Neurospora crassa OR74A: one gene and its partners. The protein of the gene in region 1 interacts with the protein of each later gene in a pairwise test. Links are inferred from orthologs where the notes say so. Each region holds a gene or a part of one and is shown on either strand. Other genes may lie near its edges.

Evidence for each region.
Region 2: the proteins of NCU08008 (region 1) and cr-1 interact in binary tests that used the Saccharomyces cerevisiae proteins (3 or more experiments, as listed by UniProt). The link is inferred for Neurospora crassa OR74A from reciprocal best matches to the Saccharomyces cerevisiae genes SRV2 and CYR1.
Region 3: the proteins of NCU08008 (region 1) and NCU06843 interact in binary tests that used the Saccharomyces cerevisiae proteins (3 or more experiments, as listed by UniProt). The link is inferred for Neurospora crassa OR74A from reciprocal best matches to the Saccharomyces cerevisiae genes SRV2 and RPL3.

What each region holds. Positions count from the first base shown.
Region 1 is NC_026504.1:3,895,661-3,903,762, reverse strand, and holds NCU08008 (adenylyl cyclase-associated protein), read right to left. Parts: upstream 5,205-8,102; 5' UTR 4,935-5,204; intron 4,785-4,934; 5' UTR 4,682-4,784; coding exon 4,638-4,681; intron 4,375-4,637; coding exon 4,125-4,374; intron 4,057-4,124; coding exon 3,223-4,056; intron 3,166-3,222; coding exon 2,725-3,165; 3' UTR 2,280-2,724; downstream 1-2,279. Other genes in the region: NCU08009 (DNA replication licensing factor mcm3), read left to right, coding at 1-2,172, 2,246-2,279; NCU08007 (PfkB family carbohydrate kinase), read left to right, coding at 6,093-7,574; NCU08006 (hypothetical protein), read right to left, coding at 7,998-8,102. UniProt on the Saccharomyces cerevisiae protein: The N-terminal domain binds to adenylyl cyclase, thereby enabling adenylyl cyclase to be activated by upstream regulatory signals, such as Ras. The C-terminal domain is required for normal cellular morphology and growth control.
Region 2 is NC_026501.1:5,568,696-5,576,611, reverse strand, and holds the start of cr-1 (adenylate cyclase), read left to right. Parts: upstream 1-2,754; 5' UTR 2,755-3,229; coding exon 3,230-3,480; intron 3,481-3,714; coding exon 3,715-4,756; intron 4,757-5,122; exon of another isoform or gene 5,123-5,163; coding exon of another isoform or gene 5,164-5,172; intron 5,173-5,448; coding exon 5,449-7,916. Other genes in the region: NCU08376 (hypothetical protein), read left to right, coding at 1-191.
Region 3 is NC_026502.1:1,781,417-1,789,273, reverse strand, and holds NCU06843 (60S ribosomal protein L3), read left to right. Parts: upstream 1-2,708; 5' UTR 2,709-2,837; coding exon 2,838-2,850; intron 2,851-3,079; coding exon 3,080-3,158; intron 3,159-3,284; coding exon 3,285-3,441; intron 3,442-3,499; coding exon 3,500-3,523; intron 3,524-3,593; coding exon 3,594-4,243; intron 4,244-4,301; coding exon 4,302-4,557; 3' UTR 4,558-4,996; downstream 4,997-7,857. Other genes in the region: RCM-1, read left to right, coding at 1-1,367; NCU06844 (hypothetical protein), read left to right, coding at 5,392-5,394, 5,511-5,970, 6,163-6,413. UniProt on the Saccharomyces cerevisiae protein: Component of the ribosome, a large ribonucleoprotein complex responsible for the synthesis of proteins in the cell.

The DNA of each region.
Region 1 (8,102 bases):
GGCACCTGCTGGTCAGCTGCCCCGAGGCGTCGATGTGATTCTCGACGATGACCTGGTAGACCGCGTCAAGCCTGGCGACCGTATCCAGCTCGTCGGTATTTTCCGGACGTTGGGTAACAGAAACACAAACCACAATAGCGCCCTGTTCAAGACGGTCATTCTGGCCAACAACATCGTCCTGCTGTCCTCCAAGTCGGGTGGTGGTGTGGCTACAGCTACCATTACCGACACCGATATTCGCAATATCAACAAGATTTCCAAGAAGCCAAAAGTTTTCGAGTTGCTTTCACAGTCACTGGCTCCCAGTATCTACGGACATGACTACATCAAGAAGGCTATCCTGCTTATGCTGCTGGGCGGCATGGAGAAGAACCTGGAGAACGGTACACATTTGAGAGGTGACATCAACATCCTGATGGTCGGTGATCCTTCCACCGCCAAGTCGCAGCTCCTTCGTTTCGTCCTCAACACTGCTCCATTGGCTATTGCCACGACTGGTCGTGGTTCTTCCGGTGTTGGTTTGACTGCTGCTGTCACATCCGATAAGGAGACTGGCGAGCGTCGTCTGGAGGCTGGTGCCATGGTTATGGCTGACCGTGGCGTCGTCTGTATTGATGAGTTCGACAAGATGTCAGACATCGATCGTGTTGCCATCCACGAAGTCATGGAACAGCAAACTGTTACCATTGCCAAGGCCGGTATTCACACCTCCCTTAACGCCCGTTGCAGTGTTATCGCCGCGGCCAACCCTATCTTTGGACAGTACGACACCCACAAGGATCCTCACAAGAACATCGCCTTGCCCGACTCCCTCCTGTCGCGTTTCGATCTTCTCTTCGTAGTCACCGACGACATCGAGGACACCCGTGACCGACAGGTATCCGAGCACGTCCTTCGCATGCACCGCTACCGCCAACCCGGCACCGAGGAGGGTGCTCCTGTGCGCGAGAACGCCGGTCAGGCCCTCAACGTCGCCCTCAACGGGCAATCCGAGTCCCAAAAGCCCACCGAGATGTGGGAGAAGTACGACGCCATGCTGCATGCCGGAATCAAGGTGCCCAGCGGCCGCGGGTCTGCCAACAAGAAGCCCGAGATCCTCAGTATCCCCTTCATGAAGAAGTATATTCAATACGCCAAAACGCGCATCAAGCCGGTACTGACGCAGGAGGCTTCCGACCGCATTGCTGACATCTACGTGGGCCTGCGCAACGACGACATGGAGGGCAACCAGCGCAAGACGTCGCCCATGACGGTCCGTACGCTCGAGACGCTCATCCGTCTGGCCACCGCCCACGCCAAGGCACGCCTGTCCAACCGCGTCGAGGAGCGTGACGCCGCCGCTGCCGAGTCCATCCTCCGCTTTGCCCTTTTCAAGGAGGTGGTCCAGGACGAGTCGCGCAAGAAGCGCAGAAAGACCCGACCCGCCGAGGGCGAGGATGGCATGTCCTCCGACTCTGACGACTCTGATGACGATGACGACGACGTGGCAACTCAAACCACCACAGCCCGCTCCAGCGCTGCCAGAGCTTCTCGCGCTTCCCGCGCTTCCCAACGCGCCAGCCGACGCACTCCCGCCAATGGCGCTTCCTCCTCCTCCGCAGCAAACGCCAACGGCACTCCCAGAGAGGAAGAAGAAACCCAAGGAGCAGAAGAAGAGGAAGAAGACATCTACGACGCCACCCCGCGCCGCTCAACAAGATCTGCTCGCACAACCGGCGACTCACAACCATCCTTCGCCTCTTCCCTTCCCGCCTCGCAACTTCGCTCCACTCGCTCCCAACGATCATCTCGTCGCACCGCTCAGAACCAAGACGACGAAGAAGAACTCGCCTCCGGAGCCGCCAACCTCAACGTCGACGAAGACGAAGACGAAGAAATGGACGTTGACGGCGAAGCCGCCCCAGAAAACCAAGAAGAGGAAGAGGAGGAAGAAGAGGAAGAAGAAGATGAGGAGCCAGCACCAATAAGCGAGCACCGTCTTGACGTTTTCCGTCGGGCGCTCGGTCCGTTGTTGAACTCGGGACTTTTCGAGGACGACGCTGCGGATGTGGATGAGCTGATCAAGGCTGTTAATGAGAAGATTCCCGGAGGCAGGAGAGGCGGTGAACAAAAGTTTGAGAAGGAGGAGGCGCTGCAGGCGTTGAGGGAGATGACGGAACGGAATCAGTTGATGTGAGTTACCCTTCGCTTGATATTGTGAGGTGTGATGATGTCGAGGAATGATGCTAACGCTGTTTGATGATAGGTATACCGATGGTCAGCTAGTGTACAAAATCTAGTCTGGTGGACTGGAAAGGTTAAAAAACCGAATTGATGCTGTGTCTAGGAAACAGGTAGAGATGATTTTAGGTGGGTCATAGATATGGATGAGAAAAGTACTACGGCGGAAATGGTCTAGACAGAGAGACATGCCATAAACAGCCAAGTTTTGTCATTGATAGGCAAAGGTGTTCGGCGTTTTTTTCAATTGAAATAGGAACGTCATGAGATGATATGGTTCTTGAAAATGATGATGGGTACTGTCGAGTTGGCATACCTGCGGGATTGAAGATGATTTCACGCCCGCTTCAGAACATGCCATCCACGAATATTCAAATCAAGGCGTGCTATTATGTAAATTGGAGAATATGTGACAACAACGCTCACGATCAGAACCAAACGCCACCTCGCATCAAGCTACTCACTTTTTCCGACAATCTCGACGAAGCAGCGACCAAATATGAATTAACCACAGTGAGAAACGATCTCGCTGATAAGCTCCTTCTTCTCGGGATCGTAATACGAGCAGATTTGGGAAGGAAGAGGAAGCTCCTTGGAGTCGTCGTTCTCGTCCACAACCATGATATTGACGTTGTCCGTCTTGCTCTGGAACACCCTTGTCGAGATGCTCTCCTTGCTCAGCCAGATTGTGGCTTGCTCGACTTGATCCAAAAGCACAGTGGGGATCGTCTCGTTGACTTGGAGCTGGAAGTTCTTGGACCTGACAACGTCGACAGTAGAAACAAGAGTGTCCACAATAAGCGACACCTTGTCGCAGTTGTCAATGTTGACAGCGTTGGCCTTGCCCTTGACGACGATGACGACTTCATTACACCTGCTGATGAGGATGGACTGGGAAATGGAGGCCTCGATCTCAACGTTGCCAGCGGCAGCATCGTAGTTTTCCTAAAGCACTGTCAAAAACCTTGAATTTACACCACAATGTCCGGCTGGAGAACTTACAATAATCCACTTGTTGCCCTCGAGAGCCTTCTTTGCAGGTTTCTTCGCACGCATACTCTCAGGCTTGGGCGGCTTGGTTCCAGGCGGCGCAGGGCTCTTGGACCGTGCCGCTGGTCCGTCGGGAACGGTTGATCCTGCCCTGAGGGAAGGGTTCTTGTGTGTCATCTGCGACTTGTCGACCTTCTTGAGACCCTTTGTAACTGCTTCGCCCTTGTTGAGCTCAGACATGACGGAACTGAAACCACCCGGTTGGGCCGGTTCCGCCTTCTGCTCATTAATCTTGAGTACCGGAGGAGGTCCAGGAGGAGGAGGTGGCGGAGGAGGAGCTCCTCCGGACGGGGCTGGAGACGCGGCAGGTGCCGAGGGAGCGCTGCCGGATTCAAGACACTGGACGACCTCCTTGTAAGGCTTGCCGTTAGGGTTCCACACAATGCCGTTGTTGTAGTAATCCTTGGCATATTCCGACAAGTCTTTGAAGATCTGGTAGAAGGTCTTGACCCATTCTGTATGCTGGGGATCAGTGTTTTTGTTTGCCTGCATGACTCTGTTGCCCAGGTATTCGGCAGATGACAGGCTTTCATCAATGAGCTTGTCAGGCCTAGACTGAACAGTGATCCAAGCGAGGAGCATGATTCCATCGGCCACCATGCCGAGGTGGTTGAAGAAGGGAGAACCGCGGTTCTTGTCCTTGATTTCCTGAGTGGCCTGGATGGCCTCGCTGATAGGCTTGATAGCCTCCTGGAAATCGACCGAGTTCATGTCGAGCTTCTTGGACTGGGAGGCGGCGAGTAGGAACTTGCGCGTCTCGGCAAATCCCTTGAGGACACTCGCAGCCTGATAAAAATGGTCAGCTTCCCGCTCTCTGCCCACAAAATAGATCCAGAACTGTGCAGGATAGGTACCTGCTCAGCAACCAAGCCACCGATAAGATTGCTGGTCTTAACATATTTCTGAACAGTTTGGTTCAAGAAGTCGTCGAACTTTTCGACAGATTCGGGAATTGGTACTGCGGCAGCGGGTGCAGGAGTGGACACAGCAGTGGACGCGGGGGCGGAGGGGGCGGAGGAAGCCGGCTCAATGACGGCCTGGGAGCCAATAGGGGGGATGGTGGACGAAGCCATATCCTCCAGACGGAGGGTGGCCGCCTCAAGTCTGCGCAAGTACTTAGCAACGTGCCTTGACCATTATTCACTCGTAGTCTTTTTTTTTTCTTTCTCGCTTTGCGCCGATTTTTCTGGCGCATTCCTTGCTCGGGGACTGGATCTTCGTCGTCCTAGCCTCAGAGCGGCTCCCATGGAATCGGCATGGCTAAGAATGCGCCAGGTAAAATAATGGGCAATGCGGGTGTTGTAGAAGAAAGCAACTATTCGTAGGTGTGGCGATATCAAGTTGCGGTAAAGAAAGCTGAAGCGTACCTCTTGATCAAGGTGACCAAGTTGTGCATATTGTTGGTCGCCATTGTGATTATGATGGTCCCTTAGGCGGGACTTTGGAAACGTAGTAGGCTTCGCGGTCGAGTAATATAGAAGTTGGAAGGAGCAAGGTGTACTCTGTGATTAGAACTGTCGGTGCCAGCTTGCGGTATTAGCGATCCTGCCTTGATGATGATGTGAAGAGAGTGCCGTGGGCAGACCCGGATACCTCCGGTGGAAGAGAGCTCGTTGAAACAGAGGGAAGGTATCGTCCTGAATATCTTGATGAGAAGCACTTACCCTTTTCGCTGAACCGTATAATTTACAAGGAATAAGAAGATATCGCTAGATGGAGAAAGAGGAAGAAAAGAGTCCCGAAACTTGCACAAGGAGGAGGTCTGGGAAGGTGTAGTTAGGTGCCCCAAGATCTGCTGTGCTGGAACATGGGATGTCTGAAGGTTGACGGTCCGGGCTGACAACTCGTCGATTGGAACCCCTCGTCACACAACCCCTACCTAGCACGGGCATCTGCCCCTGGCGCCTGCCATGCTTGTACACTGCCTACGGGCGGCCACAGTGTACGGGGCACACCTTCTGTAGACGCAGCACGCTAGGTGATGAGCTGCTTCCCCACGATAGCTTCATAGTGGGGTCATGGTGGGTCGTCTCATCCATCGTTTAAAATTACGCGTTTCGGGACATCCTCCAACAAGAAAGAACGAACACCTTGCTGGCCGCTCTCACGACTCTGCAGTAGACTAGAGTGCACGGCCACCAAAAGCCCGCTGGGCGTACAGGCACCATCCACGCCTCATATCCACATATGAGTTACCACCTCACCAAGCATACCTAAACAAAAACAACAAGTCACATCGTGCTACTGCAACCGGATCAACAACAAGCACTCTCCCCGTTCAGAAGCTCGCTGCTTGTTTAGCTGTGTATATACGAGAACGGTAATGCTGATGCTGATGCTGAAGACTTGACATGAGTAGGTCTGCACAAGCAGTCATTTAAAGTGTCGAGGATCGAGATGACAGGATCGATCCCATAACCTCCCGTCCCGCGGGTCCGTCCCCTTTCTCCATTCCTACGCCTCGCAGTAAAAAACCTACCCCAGATAGCTGATTCTAGCTAATAAGACGTTGAGTTATCAAAACATCAGGCTCTTTATGCTTTATGCCGCCTGATGGTCAGGCAGAAATAGCAGACTAGCAATAGAGGTAGCCTAGCCAGTAGCCACATCAATATCTACATACGCGTCCATCTTTCCAAATAGGTCTTCATCCCTCCATCGGTGTCTCACTCTCATAACCCCTTTCAGTGTCACTCACTTACATAGCCCACACCCACCTGTTGTCTATCATCGCCTGGCCGTTGCCGCGTCGTACTCGCATACACTCCTTTCAAGCGTCCACTACAATTGATTGATCCTACACAGTCACCACAGAGAACAATATGACAGACAATAACGGCAACCCGGAAGTGCCCGGCCAAAGTCCAGACGATGTTGACAAAGCCTCGGATGAGAGCTCAGAATGGCAAGATATCAACGACACTCCCTCAATAATAGACTTTGTCACCCTCGGCATGTTCATCATCGGTAAGTGCCCAGGAACCACAATCAGGCACCAACTAAGCACCCCATCAGATGAAATCGAATACCCTCCGCCCCGTCCTCCATCAACCAACGTCTTAGGAGGCGCCGGCTCCTACTCCGCCCTCGGCGCCCGCCTCTTCTCTCCAGCTCCGGACCTCTCCCGCACCGTGGGCTGGATCGTCGATCAGGGCTCCGACTTCCCCCAGGCCATCACCGATCTCATCACCGGCTGGTCCACCTCGGCCGTCTTCCGCCATGACCCCACCCGGCTCACCACCCGCGGCTGGAACGGCTACGTCGGCTCCTCGGAGCGCCGCGAATTCAAGTACACCACTCCCAAGAAACGACTGACGGCCGCCGACCTGGTCGGAACCCCCTTGTTGAAGGCTAAAGCCGTGCACATGGTCTGCAGTCCCAACCGCTGCAAAGAGTTGGTGGAGGAGATCATCACCCTTCGCAAGCGCGAAGCCCGACTTGCTGCTGCTGCCGCCTCCAACAAGAACAACAACAATAACGACAACGACGACGATTGCGACGATGTTGATGACGACACCAACGACCCCAACGCCTACACCCGCCCCTTAATCATCTGGGAACCAGTCCCCGATCTCTGCACCCCCTTCGAGTTACTAAACTGCACCAACGCCCTCCCACTGGTCGACATCTGCAGCCCCAACCACGCCGAGCTAGCCGGGTTCATGGGCACCGACGGCCTCGACCCGGAAACGGGCGAGATCAGCGTCGAGCAAGTAGAGCGCAACTGCGAACAGCTGCTGGCCAGCATGCCGCTGACGACGTACACGCTGGTGGTCAGGGCCGGGGAGAAGGGCTGCTATGTTGCCAAGAATGGGGGGCGAAGGAGGAAACAGCCACCTATGAAAAGGGGAAAGAAGAAGAAGATGAAGGTAGGGCTGGACGCCCGAAACTTCCACGGCGGTCTACAGCACGACACAGACATGATGTCTCTCTTTGCCGGACTTTTGCAAGATATGGAAGACCGGAACAACGAGGATGACCCGTTCGGTCGTTTCGATGTCGAGGAGGGGATCGAGGTCGATTCGGGGATCGAGAGGTGGCTGCCCGCTTACCACACGGACGCCACAAAGGTCGTCGATCCCACGGGAGGTGGGAACACGTTCCTGGGTGGGTTGGCGGTGGCGTTGGCGAGGGGAAAGAGCATCGAGGAGGCGTGTGCGTGGGGCAGCGTGGCAGCAAGTTTTGCCATTGAGCAGGTGGGAGTACCGGAGCTGGGGATGGATGTGGAGGGGAGAGAGACGTGGAATGGGGAGAGGGTGGAGGAGAGGTTGAGTGGGTATCTGGAGAGGGTCGGATTGTTGTGAGAGCTTTTTGTGATGTTGATGATTGAGTTAGAGACGTGACGGCGGGTTGACTTGATCATACCTAACGGCTAGAGAGATGGTCACAAAGATAACAGGGATGAGAGAAAGAGTTGATTGTTATGACCTTTAGGAAACGTATAGACATAGAACGACTATCTGGGTTGAAACTTTCGCAACCTTATAGACCTAACTACCAAGACATACAATGCGCCACGCTCAGCTTTTCGTAACAGTGATATCATGCCTTTGAACATCGAAAACCCATCCGTTTAACTCCAGAACCTGCTAGCTAGACGCAGAAAAACCGCTTGAATAATCCATCTTCATCATGACATTATTCCAACAACGTAATCATTCGTTCATCACCCACAGAAATCATCCTTCTTGGATCCAAGTAGGCATCCAAACTTGCTATCATGCCCACTAAGCATTGGTAACTGTCAGCCTCTTCTTATCCTGCCTCCCTCCCTCTGTTATATCCTCCGAAAAGCCAAACCCACCAGCCATGCCCTCCTCAGCCACCTTCCC
Region 2 (7,916 bases), on another chromosome or scaffold:
ATGGCAATGATATCATTCACATCAGAGATGATGATAGAATCAAATCCGGGGATCGAAAAGGCACAAAGCAGGAGAGCGAAGGTATCAAGTCCAACGGCAACGATATCAATCACATGGAGGTTGAGAAGGATGACGACAGTCATTCAATAATATCTTCAATATCCAGTCTATCGGAACTCGGCGATCTTTAATCATTTTACACGCCCATTTCTCCGAGAGCACGCGTAAGAACTATATCTTGAAGAGTTCACAAGGTGGCCAACCTGAAGGATTTAGTTTGTCGTCGGGAGCACTGTTGATGGGGCTCAAGCATGCTGATGTTCACATAGCATGTGCTGGGAGGAGCAAATAAAACAACCTGTGAGCTGGGCAAGCTTCTCTCGTTTCTTATATCCTTGATCGTGCAACACCTTGGGCGTTTCTCCTCGTCTTGGGCACACATCAATGTTCTTCTCACAAAGCCCCCTTTTCCTTCACCAAACATTGTTGGTTTGTTCCGGGTTGCCATGTAAGTTGCTGGTTGGAAGGGATTTAGAAGGAAACCACGTCTGTTTGTAGAGGTTTCCATTTGTTTCAGGATAGAAACGTGCGAAGTCACAAATCAGATTCACTGTTCCGCGATTGCGGCACTACCAATTATGAAACTAGACGGAGCTACAACTCTTCAAACCATGCCCTGCGAACGTTAGCTGTCGCGAACTATCAGCCCCATGCAAACTTCAGGCGGTCCGACTTTGTTTCTTCCAAACTCGGTAGCTGTTCCGAGTCATTGCCAACTCGTTTTACGCCGAGTTGTATTTGAGGGCATACATTTGAGCTGCTCTTTATCCAAACGGCACCTAACTTGACATCCATGTAATCTCTCACAGCTTCATACTTACCCCTACCCCTCACAGCTGTCTTCCTCTAGAAGGAACAAAAAAAGCGAGGGACTAGCGGCCTACCCTGTGCTCAAGTAGACCCATTCCGACGAACGACGCGCTCTCTGTGGCGAGACCCAGGGAGGGAACCCATTCATCGGGTTTTATCCTCAGATCGAATCACGGCATGCCAGCTCAATCGAAAAGCTCCCCCTCTCTTTGTGGAGGGAAAATCAAGTTGTCCATGAACTAGGCGTAAAGCTCCAGATCGGCTCTATTTCTTGGCTTCATGTAAGCAACCTTCCAGTTCGTTGATGAGATGAATAACATGGAAACTCGACGAAAAATGGGATGGGGGCAGATTGTGGAATTGGAGATGCAGTCCCGCTAGGTATCTACCTATCTAACGACGAAAAGCCTACATACCCTAGCTACCTAGGTATGATATTGGAACTTTAGCGTGCTTTATCCCTCGCCGGGGCACGCTCTGTTGGTTACAGGTGTAGGTTAGGTGAGTGGAAAATAGTGTAGAGGTTAACGACACCCCGTCACTACACGTGTTCGGGTAGCTAGTAGCCCCGTATCTTGAACCGCGGGCTAATGTTAAGGCAAGGTCCCTTATTTTACGGGGTAGAGACACCGAGCGACGGCGGACGCTCGCACCTCCCACGTTAATGGGGTCCGGGGACCGACCCGACCATGAAGGTACCTCCCGTCTACACAAGGTACGTACCGTGCCTGGCGACCAATTCTCATATTCAGGCCCTCGACACATTGCATGGTTCCTTGCAGCTGTTGAGATGTTAGGTTGTGTTTACAGATGCAGTTCAGAAAACAGGCGCTTTCAGTCGTTCATACTGCGACATTCACAGATTTTACATAGTAGACTACTTGGGGGGTTCTGGGCGCCAAGTAAGACATCTCAAAACAGGAACATCGTGAGCTTCAAGTTCACAAAATACCTAGAGGTACCGACAGGGTTGCGGAGCCTGAGGGAGCGGGCATACCCCCACGCGGAGCGAATTGATGCTGGCTGGCCACCCCTGCAACTGAAGTTTGCCGTTCCGAATCGATGTACCCCTACCTCTACGTACGGCTCACCGATATGCGCACCATCCGTTCGGGTGCCCTGACATTGACACCAGACACCGACTTGACATGGATACCTACCTATAATTTCGGGGTGCTTTGGCGCACAGGAACCTCTCTGATGCAAACACTGTGGCCACGGATGGGAAGCCTAAAAAGCTTCTATGTTTTGTCACCGAGATAACTCGGGCGGTCCCGCTAGTGCACTGAGATGGCAGATGGGACTGTAGGTAATACAGGCCCGAACCGGCAGCAGGTTATGCCGTGCCTCATATGTCTGCTTCGGTCGCTGAAGTATGTAAATACGTCGGCTTCAGGTGATAACTCATCATAAAATACATGTTGGAAAAACGATTGGACGCTTCTTTGAAGAGGCCCTGGCAGTCAGGTTGCATGGACTCCAGCCGAGCACCAACTCGCAGTCCTGAAAGGCTTGGGGTCCTGGAACCCAACTTGAAGAAGTTGCAGTGGCCGACAACCAGAGGGACAGTGTAAACTATCCTGATGTTCACACTTGCTCGTCAGCCCCCGTTTCCTTCTCATGTCTGCAATGGGCAATATCACCGCCCGGGGACCTTTCGGACTCAGCCCGGCTTGTTTATCTTGGGCGGCTTACACACGGGCTCAGACTGTCACACGGCTGTAGCGACTCCCGCTCGGTCAAGAAATCCGAGTGCTCTGCTCTTTTTGAGGCCCTGTACAGATTTAGCTATGGGGCCAATCGCTGCCACAGTACACTATTGTCGGAGCCCCAAATGCCGACCACTAGGGTACCTAGAGGTAGTGATGAGGACTGGACACATAATTGTCGAGTTTCTGATGGTGGGCCATCTTTGGCGCACATCTCACCCACCACCCTGGTCCGCCGTCCGCCCACCCATGTTGGTACCCGGACGCCAGTGACCTACCGCCCTACCTCCACGCCCACTCACCTGCTGGTGAACATCGACATCTGATCCATTTCCCATTCGCTGCAAATACCTAACAAGAGACGATTAGAACCACTTTGCCGGCCCAGCAAAGAGGGCAAACGCGGACCTGGACTAGCCACCCACGAGATAGCAGCTGAACACCTCAACAACACACCAGCATAACGCCAGCAACGTCTTGGGTTGTCGGGATTCAACGTCCGCATTCTTCGTCACCACAAGACACGCCCGCCATCTTAGCATCGGACAAGGCCATGACCTGAAAACACTGGCCATCCCCATCCTCACGTGGAATGGCTGTGGTCTCCTGGTAGTTGGCATCTTTGTTCCGCTCGCCTCCCGCCGGTGACAATGACGAGAAATGACGGCGGCTCCCGCTACAGCTCCATCGACAGCGCACAATCCAGCATCACGGCGAAGCCATTTCCCTTGACGCCGACCAGCAGCCTGGGCAGCTCGATGACACGGCCGCTGTCCCCGTCGCTGCAAGCGGGCAGCAGTAGCAGCAATGGCGGCCACAATGTATCTCGGTCCGCCTCACAGGGTGCGCGCAGGCCTGCGCCGACGCGTTTGAAGACGGATGACGGCACCCAATTTGCGAGGTGAGTTGAAGCGAGCGACGCAGTCTGTTGTTTCCTGGGGGCTTCGTGGTTCTCGAGCGGTTCTGTGATACGGATACCTACCCAGTCTTGCTTGCACAGTCCTGTCCTGTCACCGCAACTATCCGGAAACCCCGTTCTTCTTTGCCGTCCCTTCTCTTACAAGTCAAGCCTGTTCTTGCCCTATTTTCCTGCAGTTCAAACTAACGGGTGCATGCGTCGGCCGCCCATCTACAGCAGGTCATCGAGAGATTTCGAGTCGTCGCAGTCCCAGTCGCAGCCGTCGCATACGCAGACGCGGTCGCACTCACTGTCACAGGCCACGCTTCAATCATGTTCGCAGCCGCAGTTGTCATTGAATTCCCAGCAGTCTCAATCCCCTTCTCAGTACCACTCGCAGCAGACGCCGACACAGCAACAACCACAGCAACAAGTATCGCCCACGGGGGGCTCGCGCCTGACCCAGTCGCCCACTACACCATCCAATGCGTCTATCCGCGAACACAGAATGAGCGAGCTGGGGGGATATCGTCGTGAAATGGCGGCCATGTTGGACACCACAGGCGGCGCATTGAGCCGAACGTCATCGCACAGTCAGCAGCAGCCGCAGCAGCCGCAGCAACAACAACAACAGCAGCAGCAGCAGCAGGGTCACGCTGCAGGATCAGTTTCGGGTACCTTCAGCAACCTCAGCCAGTACGCACCGTATCTGGGGGGAAACAACGGCGGCGGGATGTCCATGGGCAGCTTCCTCAATGACTCTACGGATAATCTGTCGGTAATATCGCAGCTATCGCCGGGCATCCGGCCGATGACGGCACGGCCTTCGCAGGCGTCGGCAGGCAGCATGGAGTTTCCGGATTCGGCGTACTACGACGATGAGCGGCGGCCGTCGATTGCTTCAATCACGACGACGGCGAGCAGCCAAGGGTCGCGGACTTCCAAGACCCGGGGCGGGCTACAGAAGCTCCAGCAGTTTTTTGGCGATCGGGACGATTGGCCTGGCCGAGATTCGTCGGAAATTAGCCTGCCCCAGCCGAGTCACTCGGGCCCCATGTCCACAGGGAAGGAACACCGATCACACTCTTACAGCCTACCAGGCAGCGGTCGCTCGCACCGGGACCGCAACTACTCCAATGCCACCGATCACCATCCCTCCACCTTTGGCTCCGTCTCGACTGTCGGCGGGCGAGATAGGGATGCCTCGCCCGTGCCCTCGAGGCCGCGAACCCCAGTGCCTGCGCCCGAAGTTGTGCCGTTTCTGTACCAAGAAGCCGACGTACGTATAGCCTCGCTCTCTCTTTCTCTCTTTCTCTATTTTTGTTTTCTTTTGTAATTTACTGTTTTCGATCTTCCCTTCCCCCTCTTCGCTCTCCCCCTCCCCCCCTCTTCCCTCCCCTCTCTCGTAAAGTGTTGTGGTGGTAGCTTGGTAAGAGATACAGGAGCAGTAGTATCACTAAAGGTACCCTACGCTACTTATACCTACTAGCTACTACCCTCGCTTCGACCCCATTTCCACACCTCGCCAAATCTTATCTCTGGCCTTCTCTTTCCTATCTCCACCCCGAGCTATCCCTTTTGGGAATCGCGAATTGGATGAGTAGCAGTGGGATCAACATTGGCAATGGCCGCCGGCCGTCTCATTCTTTGCTCCAAACGCAACCCTCGTTTGACGCTTCCTGCAACATGTCGGCGGTGAGATGATCCCTCCTGCCATCTTCCGTCTTCAAGTTCACAACAACCACATTAACAAGGAGCCCAAGGCAATGGCTGCGGAATCTTTTACACAACAATGACAACGACAGCCTGCCAGTGAGGTGTCGTTGTTGCCCTGCTCCAATCCCGAGAAACCCGCTCTTTGCTGCTATCCTCCAGTCTGGACTCCTCCTGCCTGCCGTGCCTACCAATCCGTATTATACAAATTGCACGAGTGATCTCTGTCGCCGTAACTGACCATTGCATGAAACACAGGACATCGCTCGCTATGGCGAAGCACCCGTTCGAACAAGTCTCACTGGCCCCGATCGCGATCGTTACATCGACAGCTCCCAGAACCCACCAAAGACCTCGTCTTCCGCCCGGTCAGGTCACTCCATCGTGCACCTACCGGGACATCATAAACACAACAAGAGTAACGAGGATCCAAGGGCTTTGAAGCCATCGCTTAGCAGGGAGGATTCGGCAGCCAGTTTCGCTAGGGATTTTCGCAACGGTTCCAGCTCTATGATGGGCACCCGATCTCGCGCACAGAGTCCAGCGCCCAGTTGGACAGGGACGTCGCGGGGACTCAAAGCCAACAGTATTTCCGACGGAACATCATCTCCAGCTCCATCGCACAAAAAGGGCATATTGGGTCGCTTCCGCCGGCACAACAAAGACAAGGAAGATGGCTCCAGCCTTCGGAGTGGCTCAAACCACACTCTTGTACACCGCCCGTCGAGACAAGACCTTACCCGCGCCGCCGAATCCACCTACCCAGCATCCGTCTACGTTTCGGACCCTAGCGAGCAGCGAGAGGTCCCTGTCCGCCCTGGCTATGTGCGCCAGACGACGGCGCCGGGGTTCACCACGAAACTCTTTACCTCTAAGAAATCGAGCTCGGCCAAACAGCCCCAAGATGACATGGACGAGGACATTGGGCCCACTGACATGCACATGGGAGGTGGAACCGTCTATCATCTCGATACGAACCTTAATGATATGGAGGGAATTTTGACCAAGCCTCAACCCATGACCCCCTTGGACAACAGCATATCAATGCGACGCGAATCAGAAAAGATGATTGTCCCGATCACGACAGATCCGGAGGGCGCATGGGCTGCCCCGGACAGTTGGGCAGTGCGCGACAACAAAAAGTCTCTCGCCCCTCAGGTAAATGAAGACTTGTGCTCACGTCAACCTAGCGAGGAAAAGGAGAAGAAAAGCAATTATTACATTCGTGTCTTTAGGTCAGATAGCACCTGGACTACGCTCACCCTGCCCTTGACTGCGACAGCTGAGGATGTTATCATGGGTGTGGCGAAAAAGACTTATCTCCCTCCGGGTGCTCAGGACAGCTACTCTCTCCTTATCAAGAAGCACGATTTGTTCAGGGTCTTGAATAGCGCCGAACAACCCTTGAGAATCCAAAAACGACTCTTTCAGCAGATAGGTTATCAAGAAAAGGATGGCATTGACGAAATCGGTCGCGAAGATAACAGTTACATTTGTCGATGGGTCTTCCTCAAGGAGAAGGAAGCCGACATGCATTTGCTCTCACCTGACATCAACTTCAGGAACCAGAAGCTCAATCATGTTGACCTGTCTGGGCGCAACCTAATAACCATACCGGTACCATTATATCGCAAGGCAGCAGAGATTGTATCCCTTAATCTGTCCAGAAATCTGTCCTTAGATGTCCCCAGAGACTTTATACAAGCTTGCACTGCTCTTCGGGACATCAAGTACAACAACAACGAGGCGCAGGCCTTGCCCAAGAGCTTCGCCACGGCCAGCAAGCTTACCTATCTAGATGTGTCAAACAATCGCCTCCAGGATCTGGATCATAGCGAACTGAGCAAGCTAACAGGCCTGCTCAAGCTGAACCTCGCCAACAACTGTTTGCGCAGTCTACCCCCTACGCTTGGAGCCTACAAGTCGCTGCGAACACTTAATATATCTTCCAACTTCCTCGACGTCTTCCCGTCCTTCATCTGCGAGCTGGAAACCATCGTCGACCTCGACCTCAGCTTCAATTCAATCAACAACCTTCCCGATAACTTGATGAAGTTGAGAAACCTTGAGAAGTTCGTGATCACTAACAACCGACTGTCTGGGCCTATATCCGAGAGCGTGAGGGACCTAGTCAGCCTTCGGGAGTTGGACATCAGATACAACCAGATCAGTACCATCGACGTCCTTTCTGACCTACCTCGGTTGGAGATCTTATCCGCCGATCACAACCAGATATCCAAATTCAGTGGGTCCTTTGAAAGACTTCGAAGCTTGAAACTCAACTCGAATCCGATTGTCAAGTTTGAAGTCAAAGCACCTGTTCCTACCCTCAAGATCCTCAACCTGTCCAATGCGCAGTTAGCGAGCATCGACGAATCAATCGACAACCTAATGAACCTTGAGAGGTTGATACTCGACTCTAATTACTTCGTCTCCCTGCCAAACCAAATTGGTAACCTCAAGAAACTTGACCACCTCAGCATGGCAAACAACCACCTCGGAGAGCTTCCTCCCGAAATCGGCTGCCTGACGGAGCTCCGAACGTTAGACGTCCACGGAAACAACATGCGCAAACTTCCGAACGAGATTTGGTGGGCGAACAAGCTCGAACACCTCAATGCATCCTCCAACATCTTGACAGAGTTCCCCAAGCCTGCCTCGCGTGCGCCACAAGCGCCAGGAGAAGCTAGCCCATCTCCAGGTGCATATCCCTTCCCGAACGCCAA
Region 3 (7,857 bases), on another chromosome or scaffold:
GTGGCCCTGGCCCGGGCCAAGGGGCCAACTCGTGGGGTGGAAGAATTTCCGACATTAACCCTCCTCCCCAGCCGCCGAACCCATATGCCTCGGGTCAAGACCGGGAGCCCTTTCGTGGTCCCGCTCCGCCGCTTCCCAGACAGCCCAGCCCGCGACAGGAGCAGCAAATGAGGCCTTATCAGGAGGCCAGGGCGCCCGAGCCGCTCAGAAGAGGACCTACCCCTCCCCAGGCTCATTACGCCCCTCCACCCCCTCCACCTCCGCAACAACCGCACCAGCCGCACCCGCAGCAACAGCTTCAGCAAGGACCTCAACCTACTCGGGAAGGGGGTAGTGGTACTAGAGTGAGGAACCCGAACTACGCTAATCCCCAGAACGTGGTCCCTTCCAATTCTGGTCCTGGCCCAAACGGCCCTCCTCCTCCAAACGCAATGATGCATTTTAACAACAGTCCGAGGACTGATGGAAGACCACCCCACATGCACGAGAACCGCATGCCGTCTCCCAAGTCCGCCTATCCTCAGCATCAGCCGCCGTACCCTCCGCATGGTGAGCAGGGCGGTCCTGGTGGCCCTGAGCCAGGCCCTCCTCACCCCCCTCAGTCAGGTATGGCTGGTGAACCTCCTCATCAGAGGGAGCATGATCCCCGCCCTCCTTCGGTTGGCCCCAAGAGAATGCGTGAGTGGGAAGACGACCGGGAGGTGAAGAAGCCTGCGACGGAGGAGACTCGCGTCCGTATGGATGACCATAGGCACCGCCGCCCCTCGATGACCCCGCCCCGAATGGAGCCGCCCTATGCTCGTCGCAACTCGTCGGAGGCTCGTCGCTTCGACGAGCGTCGTATGGAAGATTCCCGTAGGGTTGAGGAGCAGCGCCGGGCTGAGGAACAACGTCGCATGGAGGACATGCGCCGGGCTGAGGAGCAGCGGCACCAGAACGAGGGATACCATCCTTCGGAGGCCGCTCATCATCCCCAGTCTCATTCCGCCCCTGCCCATTTGCCGCCGATGCAGCAAGGTTCGGCTCCGATGCAGAACCTCATCCACGAGCAAGGCCACGGACCCCAGCAGCCAGTCCCCGGACCTCAGCAGCAAGGCCCAGGCCCAGCACATCAGCCCGCCCCCGAAGACCGACGGATGGACCATCCTCCAGCCCAGCACCCCCCCATCGTCAATGAGCCTGAGCGTGCGGCCCGTAAAATGGACGTTGACGAGGACTATGACGATAGCGGAGAGGAGGACAAGAAGGGCGGAATTATTCCCGGTCCTTCCTCCGGATCCGGCCCTGCAGCAAACGAGTCCAAGAACGGAGCCTCAACGAGCGGTAGCTTCAACGGCATCATGGGACAAAAGTCAGAAAGCAACTGATTACATCATCTGCCGTGTACCTCGAGCTTCTGCGCGAGAGACAAGACCCAGTGTATCTGCTTATAATACGGCAGAGGTAGGAGAACCCAAGATCCTGTCGATGTCATAATGGTTTTGCTTATGGATGGGAATGTACGTCGACTTGTTCGTTTTATGTGGTTTGAAAGAGTGGTCATCATTTCACACACATGGATGATGGAGACAGAAGGACCTGTGAAGCTCAAGATCTCATGGGTGCGAAATGCACTATTTTACCACGTTTTGACTGACCGGTAGGAGATGAGGAGGGAGAGGAAGGAGCGGATTCCGATGTACATACATTATTATGACTTGTGTTTGGAATAGAAGCGTGTGCATGTCATCTGTTGGAAAGTCGACAGCGAGAAGGGAATGGGAATATCCTCAAGAGGCGGAAATGAACTCGCTGCTTTGCCATAGAGGCCAGTTAGAGAACATGATTACGATTGTCGTTACACTCTTGGGATCGTAATTGCAACGTCGTGATCATTCCCGCACGGGATACGGTGTTATTGAAATGGCTGAACGGCGCCTCAGCCCGAAAAGTCAAGGAGATGACAGCTAAGTGTAGTGCTTTCGTGGTTATCCCTTGTAACCAGTACGCCTTTGACCATGCATGTCCGCCTAATCATGTAATCATGTTAAGCCAACCCACTTGTTTTACATCTACGACTGTTATAATGCCCTTGTCCACGAGCTCGACAAGCTAGAGGTATTGAGTCAAGAAGCAGATGGGGCATTTGACAATGTCGTCATGCTTCTGACAGGCAGCTGACAACCCCAATAGATGGAGATCTCGCTTTGATCCAAACAGCCCAACCTAGGCTATTGAAAGCCACAACAGCTTGCTCTCTTTGACACCGTGGGCGCGGACATCGAATTCGGAGAATCAGCCGTGTGATCAAGATGGAGTCAAGGGGGGGAACAACGAAGATTGGAGCTCAACATATTGTAACCGACCAGACCAAACAGAGCCGTTGCCACGCGCAGGCGCCGAAAAAATCCCATATCTCGTATTCCATCTGCGAACGTACCTACGGCGGCAGCGGCGACGATGACGGACTTATACGCAGAGCAATCAAAGTCACGTTTTCTGCCACCTCAACAGGACTTTACCTTGTCATCAATGTGCCATTAGTGAATGGCCCGCCAAGCTGACTAAGTGTACGGGGTCGCTCTTGTGGGGTGGATTGTTCTGGGCTTGGCTGGTCATCGCTGGTTGGCTGGGCGGGCTCGAGGAACAGGAAGGCGGACATGCCCGCCGGAAAGGGCTCGCGCAAAAGTTAGGGCTCCGCTGCACTTGAGGCCCGTGCACGGTCCAATCCACACCACTCACACAAAAATTTGGCTGGTCCAATTTCTCTGGCGATACTTCTTGATTTTGTTTTCGCGGTAGTGAACTTTTTCCCACTCGACCATCAACAACCCGGGTACTTGGGATCATCAGCAGTCATGTCTCACCGTAGTAAGTAACGCCTCATCGCCGTCGCTGTCGCCGCCAGACATACGGTCTTTGTCGATTTCTACACGCAATCCCGACTTCGAGAGAATCGATGGAGCAGCTTTCCCGAGAGACGGTCGTCGCGATATCGAAATTTTCGACTTTTTGGCGACTGGATTTTGGGGAGCATGCGTGATCACGACTTGGACCTCATGGCAACCTGAACGTCCTTCATGCTGACTCGATGCTTCAGAGTACGAGGCTCCCCGCCACGGTTCGCTGGCCTACCTTCCCCGCAAGCGCGCGGCCCGCCACAGGGGAAAGGTCAAGTCGTAAGTCAAGCTTATCTTCTGGTACCATCGACAACACTATCGCTAGTAGTTTGGATCTTTCGCGATCGGAACTTGGGCAATAGGGCATGCGAACAGAGAGGCTGACCAGTTGCGCGTTCATGACAGGTTCCCTAAGGATGATGCCAAGAAGCCCGTCCACCTTACCGCCGCCATGGGCTACAAGGCCGGCATGACCACCATCGTCCGCGACCTCGACCGCCCCGGCGCCAAGGCTCACAAGAAGGAGGTCGTTGAGGCTGTGACCATCATTGATACCCCTCCTGTACGTACAACGCAGCCCGCTTGGCTCTTTTTGTGTCAATGGCTAACATCTCTCGCAGATGATCGTTGTGGGTCTGGTCGGCGTAAGTCTTTGATCCTGTCCAGCTGCCGTATATGGCCTACCGCGACCGTGTGATCTAACCCCGATATTAGTACATCGAGACTCCCCGCGGTCTCCGCTCCCTCACCACCGTCTGGGCTGAGCACTTGTCCGACGAGGTCAAGCGCCGCTTCTACAAGAACTGGTACAAGTCCAAGAAGAAGGCCTTCACCAAGTACGTCAAGAAGCACTCCGACAACAACGGTGCCGCCATCACCCGCGAGCTCGAGCGCATCAAGAAGTACTGCACTGTCGTCCGTGTTCTTGCCCACACCCAGATCCGCAAGACTCCCCTCAAGCAGAAGAAGGCCCACCTTATGGAGATCCAGATCAACGGTGGCTCCGTCGCCGACAAGGTCGAGTTCGGCCACGGCCTCTTCGAGAAGCCCGTCTCGATCGACTCCATCTTCGAGAAGGACGAGGTTATCGACGTCATTGCCGTTACCAAGGGTCACGGTTTCACCGGTGTCACCGCTCGTTGGGGCACCAAGAAGCTTCCTCGCAAGACCCACAAGGGTCTCCGCAAGGTCGCCTGTATCGGTGCCTGGCATCCTTCCCACGTCCAGTGGACTGTTGCTCGCGCTGGTCAGGCCGGTTACCACCACCGTACCTCGGTCAACCACAAGATCTACCGCATTGGCAAGGGCGATGCTGAGGACTCTGCTGCCACCGAGGTCGATGTCACCAAGAAGAAGATCACCCCGTATGTATCCCCGTCTGTCTTGAAGAAGTTGAAGAGCGCAAAACTAACCCTGTTCCAGCATGGGTGGCTTCGTCCGCTATGGCGAGATCAACAACGACTTCGTCATGGTCAAGGGCTCCGTTCCCGGTGTCAAGAAGAGAGTCATGACTCTCCGCAAGTCCATGTTCGTCCACACCTCCCGCAAGGCCCTCGAGAAGGTCGAGCTCAAGTGGATCGACACCTCCTCGGAGTTCGGTCATGGTGCTTTCCAGACCCCTGCCGAGAAGAAGCAGTTCCAGGGTACCCTCAAGAAGGACCTCGCTGCCAGCTCGTAAATTGGCTGCTGCAGTTGATCTCCTTGTTAGTCGGGTTGCATTGGTGTCACGGTTTTTTCGTTGCTCTTTCGGGTCGGTCGGGAAATGGGACTATACCTAGCATTTACGGCTTAATAAAAAGCTGTTGAAGAACAATGAAACGTTGATCCAGTGTACTGCCAAAGAGAGTGTCCTTCAGCAAAATGTGTTTTATGTGATGTGAACACGTGAAGAATCTGGTGGTTGGCACAGATTCGATGGACACTGTTGTTTATAACTTCGTATGTTTTATTCCAGGACTTTTGTCTTGGGCTGCTATGCCCCCACTAGTGTAGGGTAATGACTTGAAGGGACCAGTGGCATATAGATATACCCAATTTGATAGTCTTGAATGTAGCATGTCGTGTGATTCTCGTTGCCTGTTCTGCTGCGCTGGACGTGTTCGATTTATCAACTGTTCATGAGCTTCCACCTGTCATTCACTACCCGTCTCTATGCTTTCTCTTCCTGATATTGTTCATCTGCGATACCACGACTGATAATGATATCACTTTTCGACCATCTTCTCATATTCCTAGTCGTGCTTTTGGGAGTCCTCACGGCGTACATGGCTGTTGTTACTTGTTGAGGGCATATCAAACCCCGATCGACCTTGCAAGCAGCCCATCTCCTGATTGGTTGACGCTTCCACTCTTAGGCCAACGTGAGATCCGCCATTCCTAATTGGTTTCAGCTACTGCAGGTTACATCATCGGACGTTCGTTCGCATCCCACCACGCAGCCCACCCACCTGACTGATCATTGTCATCGTCGTCCCGCCCAACGAAACGTTCTCAACCTAAACACAACAACATAATGGTTTGAACTTCCCTAACCCTGACCCAGATCTGTTCTAGTTGCTTCTTCCATCCTCAACACAAACTCTTTGTCGACAATCCGCAAAGCTAATTACCCGGCTCTTTCTCGAACACCAGACACCCGCTGGATTGCCTCTCTCTCGAACAACTTCTACGCTTCTCCATTTGCAACGACCAGCAGCGCAACGATTTCTCACTCTCCCGCTCTTGCGCATCACTACGTCCCTTTCCGCAGGTACTACGCTTCATACGCCTCGTACACCGCACATCATCACCTCGACCGCGAAGCTGTCGTCTACCACCACCACCACATCGAAAATGGCCTCGGACGATTCCTACATGGCCTTCCTCAACAAGGCCAACGAGGACCCTTCGCTCGGGTACCCGCGCGACCGCCCCGACCCGGCAACGCAAAAAGTCGGCAGCAATACATTCAAGACGCGCGACGAGGGGGTTCCCCTCCCGTCTCCGATTGCCAAGTTGTTGGAAAAGGGGGATAAGTTCTATGTGAGCGATGCGGATGAGCCGTTTGAGGGGGTCGCGTTGAAGTTTGGGGAGGAGATGCTTCCGGATGAGGGTAAGTTTCTCTCTTTTTTTTTCTGTCGTGAGTTTGATGGTGGGTGGGACGGAGGGGGAAAGATTTCGTTCCTTTTTCTTTTTTTTGGGGCGGCGGGGGGAAGATGGAAGAGAAGGGAGGGCAGCAACAGGAACAGGAGCAGAAAAGGATGAGTCGAAAGACAAGAAAGATGCTGACATTTAATGAAAACAGAAAAATTCGCCTCTTTAATCAACCACCCCAGCCCCGCCGACGCCGATATCGAGATCTTGGACCCTGTTGACTGGGATCGCAACGGGCAGTACCTTGATTTGATTGATGCGGTGACGGAGGCGAGCGAAGGGCGTGATGTGAAGGTGTACAGGGTTGCGAAGGACAGCGTGCGGGTGGAGTATTGGGTTGTGAGTGTGAGTGTTGATGGGAAGTTGCTGGTTGGTGTTAGGGCTTTGGCTGTTGAGAGTTAGACGGATTCCAGAGAAAGGGGATGAGAGGACAACAGATGAAGGTGGCTCGGATTAAGAATCTGGATGGGATGTTATTATCACGATACCACGGCTGAATGAACCAGTTTTTATTTCTTTAATTTCCCTCTCGTCTATGTCGTCCGCTCTGGATGTTATTTCAAGGACCGAAGCTGCCTGTTATTGAGCCTTAAACCGTGTCCTACCTTCAGCCACATGAAACCTCTAGACAAGCTCTCAAGGATACATAGTATCTCTGTTCCCATATCGTTCACTCGTTGTAGTAACTCTTGTCCTATTACTTGTTCATCAGCGTGCGATCCCTCAGCCAGTCTTTGTACCTCACTGATCCTTTCTCTTCATTTTCTCCTATCTAAGATCTGCATGGTAAAAGACTGGCAGTATGTATTGGAAGCTTAGTGCCCTGTCACGTTCTCGTTGACAAGTTCATGGTTCATGTTTCCATGATCCGCCAATTTCCAAGGCTATGCTCATCTCGGGAAGCTAACCATTACAGTCTGCTCTAGTCATATTCGACTCTCCGGCCTCATGTTACTTACTCCAGTTACGTGACAAAGTCGATACAATAACACGATGGGTGGATTGGCTCATCTCAAAACGGGACCTCGTTTCTGTTCCAAATCCTGAACAACTAACACATACTCACTCGACTGTAGCTTATCATACGCATCGATGTGTCTGTCTGTCTGTCTGTCACCCATTGAATGTAAAGGGGGAAAAAAAAATTAGATATATGCATATCCAACGGTAGATGATCAAAAAGATACAAATTAAAGAAAACAATTGTGCGCAGTCCGGGGTTCGAACCCGGGTCGCTCGTTACTTAGCTTCCAGTCGCCTGTGATACTGGGAAACGAGAGTGCTAAACCACTACACTAACTGCGCTTGTTTTGTGACGTTGCTTCAGTTGTTGAATGTGTGGCTAGGAAAATTGGAGTATAAGGGGCAAGTGACGGCAGTTAGATAAGGGGAAGAAGGTACGGCGAGGGAAAGTGGGAGTGTTGAGTTGTTTGCTGTCCGGTGTCGGATGTGGGTTGCCGGTGAAGGGAGATTGGAAGGAAGGAAGGAGGGCATTAGTGGGAAGAAAGGAAGGAAGGAGCTCACGACAAAGAGGGATAGCGGTAAAGCAATCGTGTGTAACTTTAAAGGTACCTCACTCAGTCCTTCACATGGCCAAGAAAAATGGGAGTTGGCAAAGAAGTTGTGCTCAGGAGTAAAAGTAACCACATGTAGATAGTATTCCGCTTTGAAAGCATTGTTTCTCTAGGTGGTTGTTTTTCTTCTTGTCCGGCACGGGTTTGAGACAAGGCTAAAGGTAATGACTCTTATTTCACTAAGAGACTACCAAATGGATCCAGAACCCAACATCTAGATGGAAGCCAAATCGACATGCTAGTTAGTGAAGTACGCACTGTTGAGTGTTTCA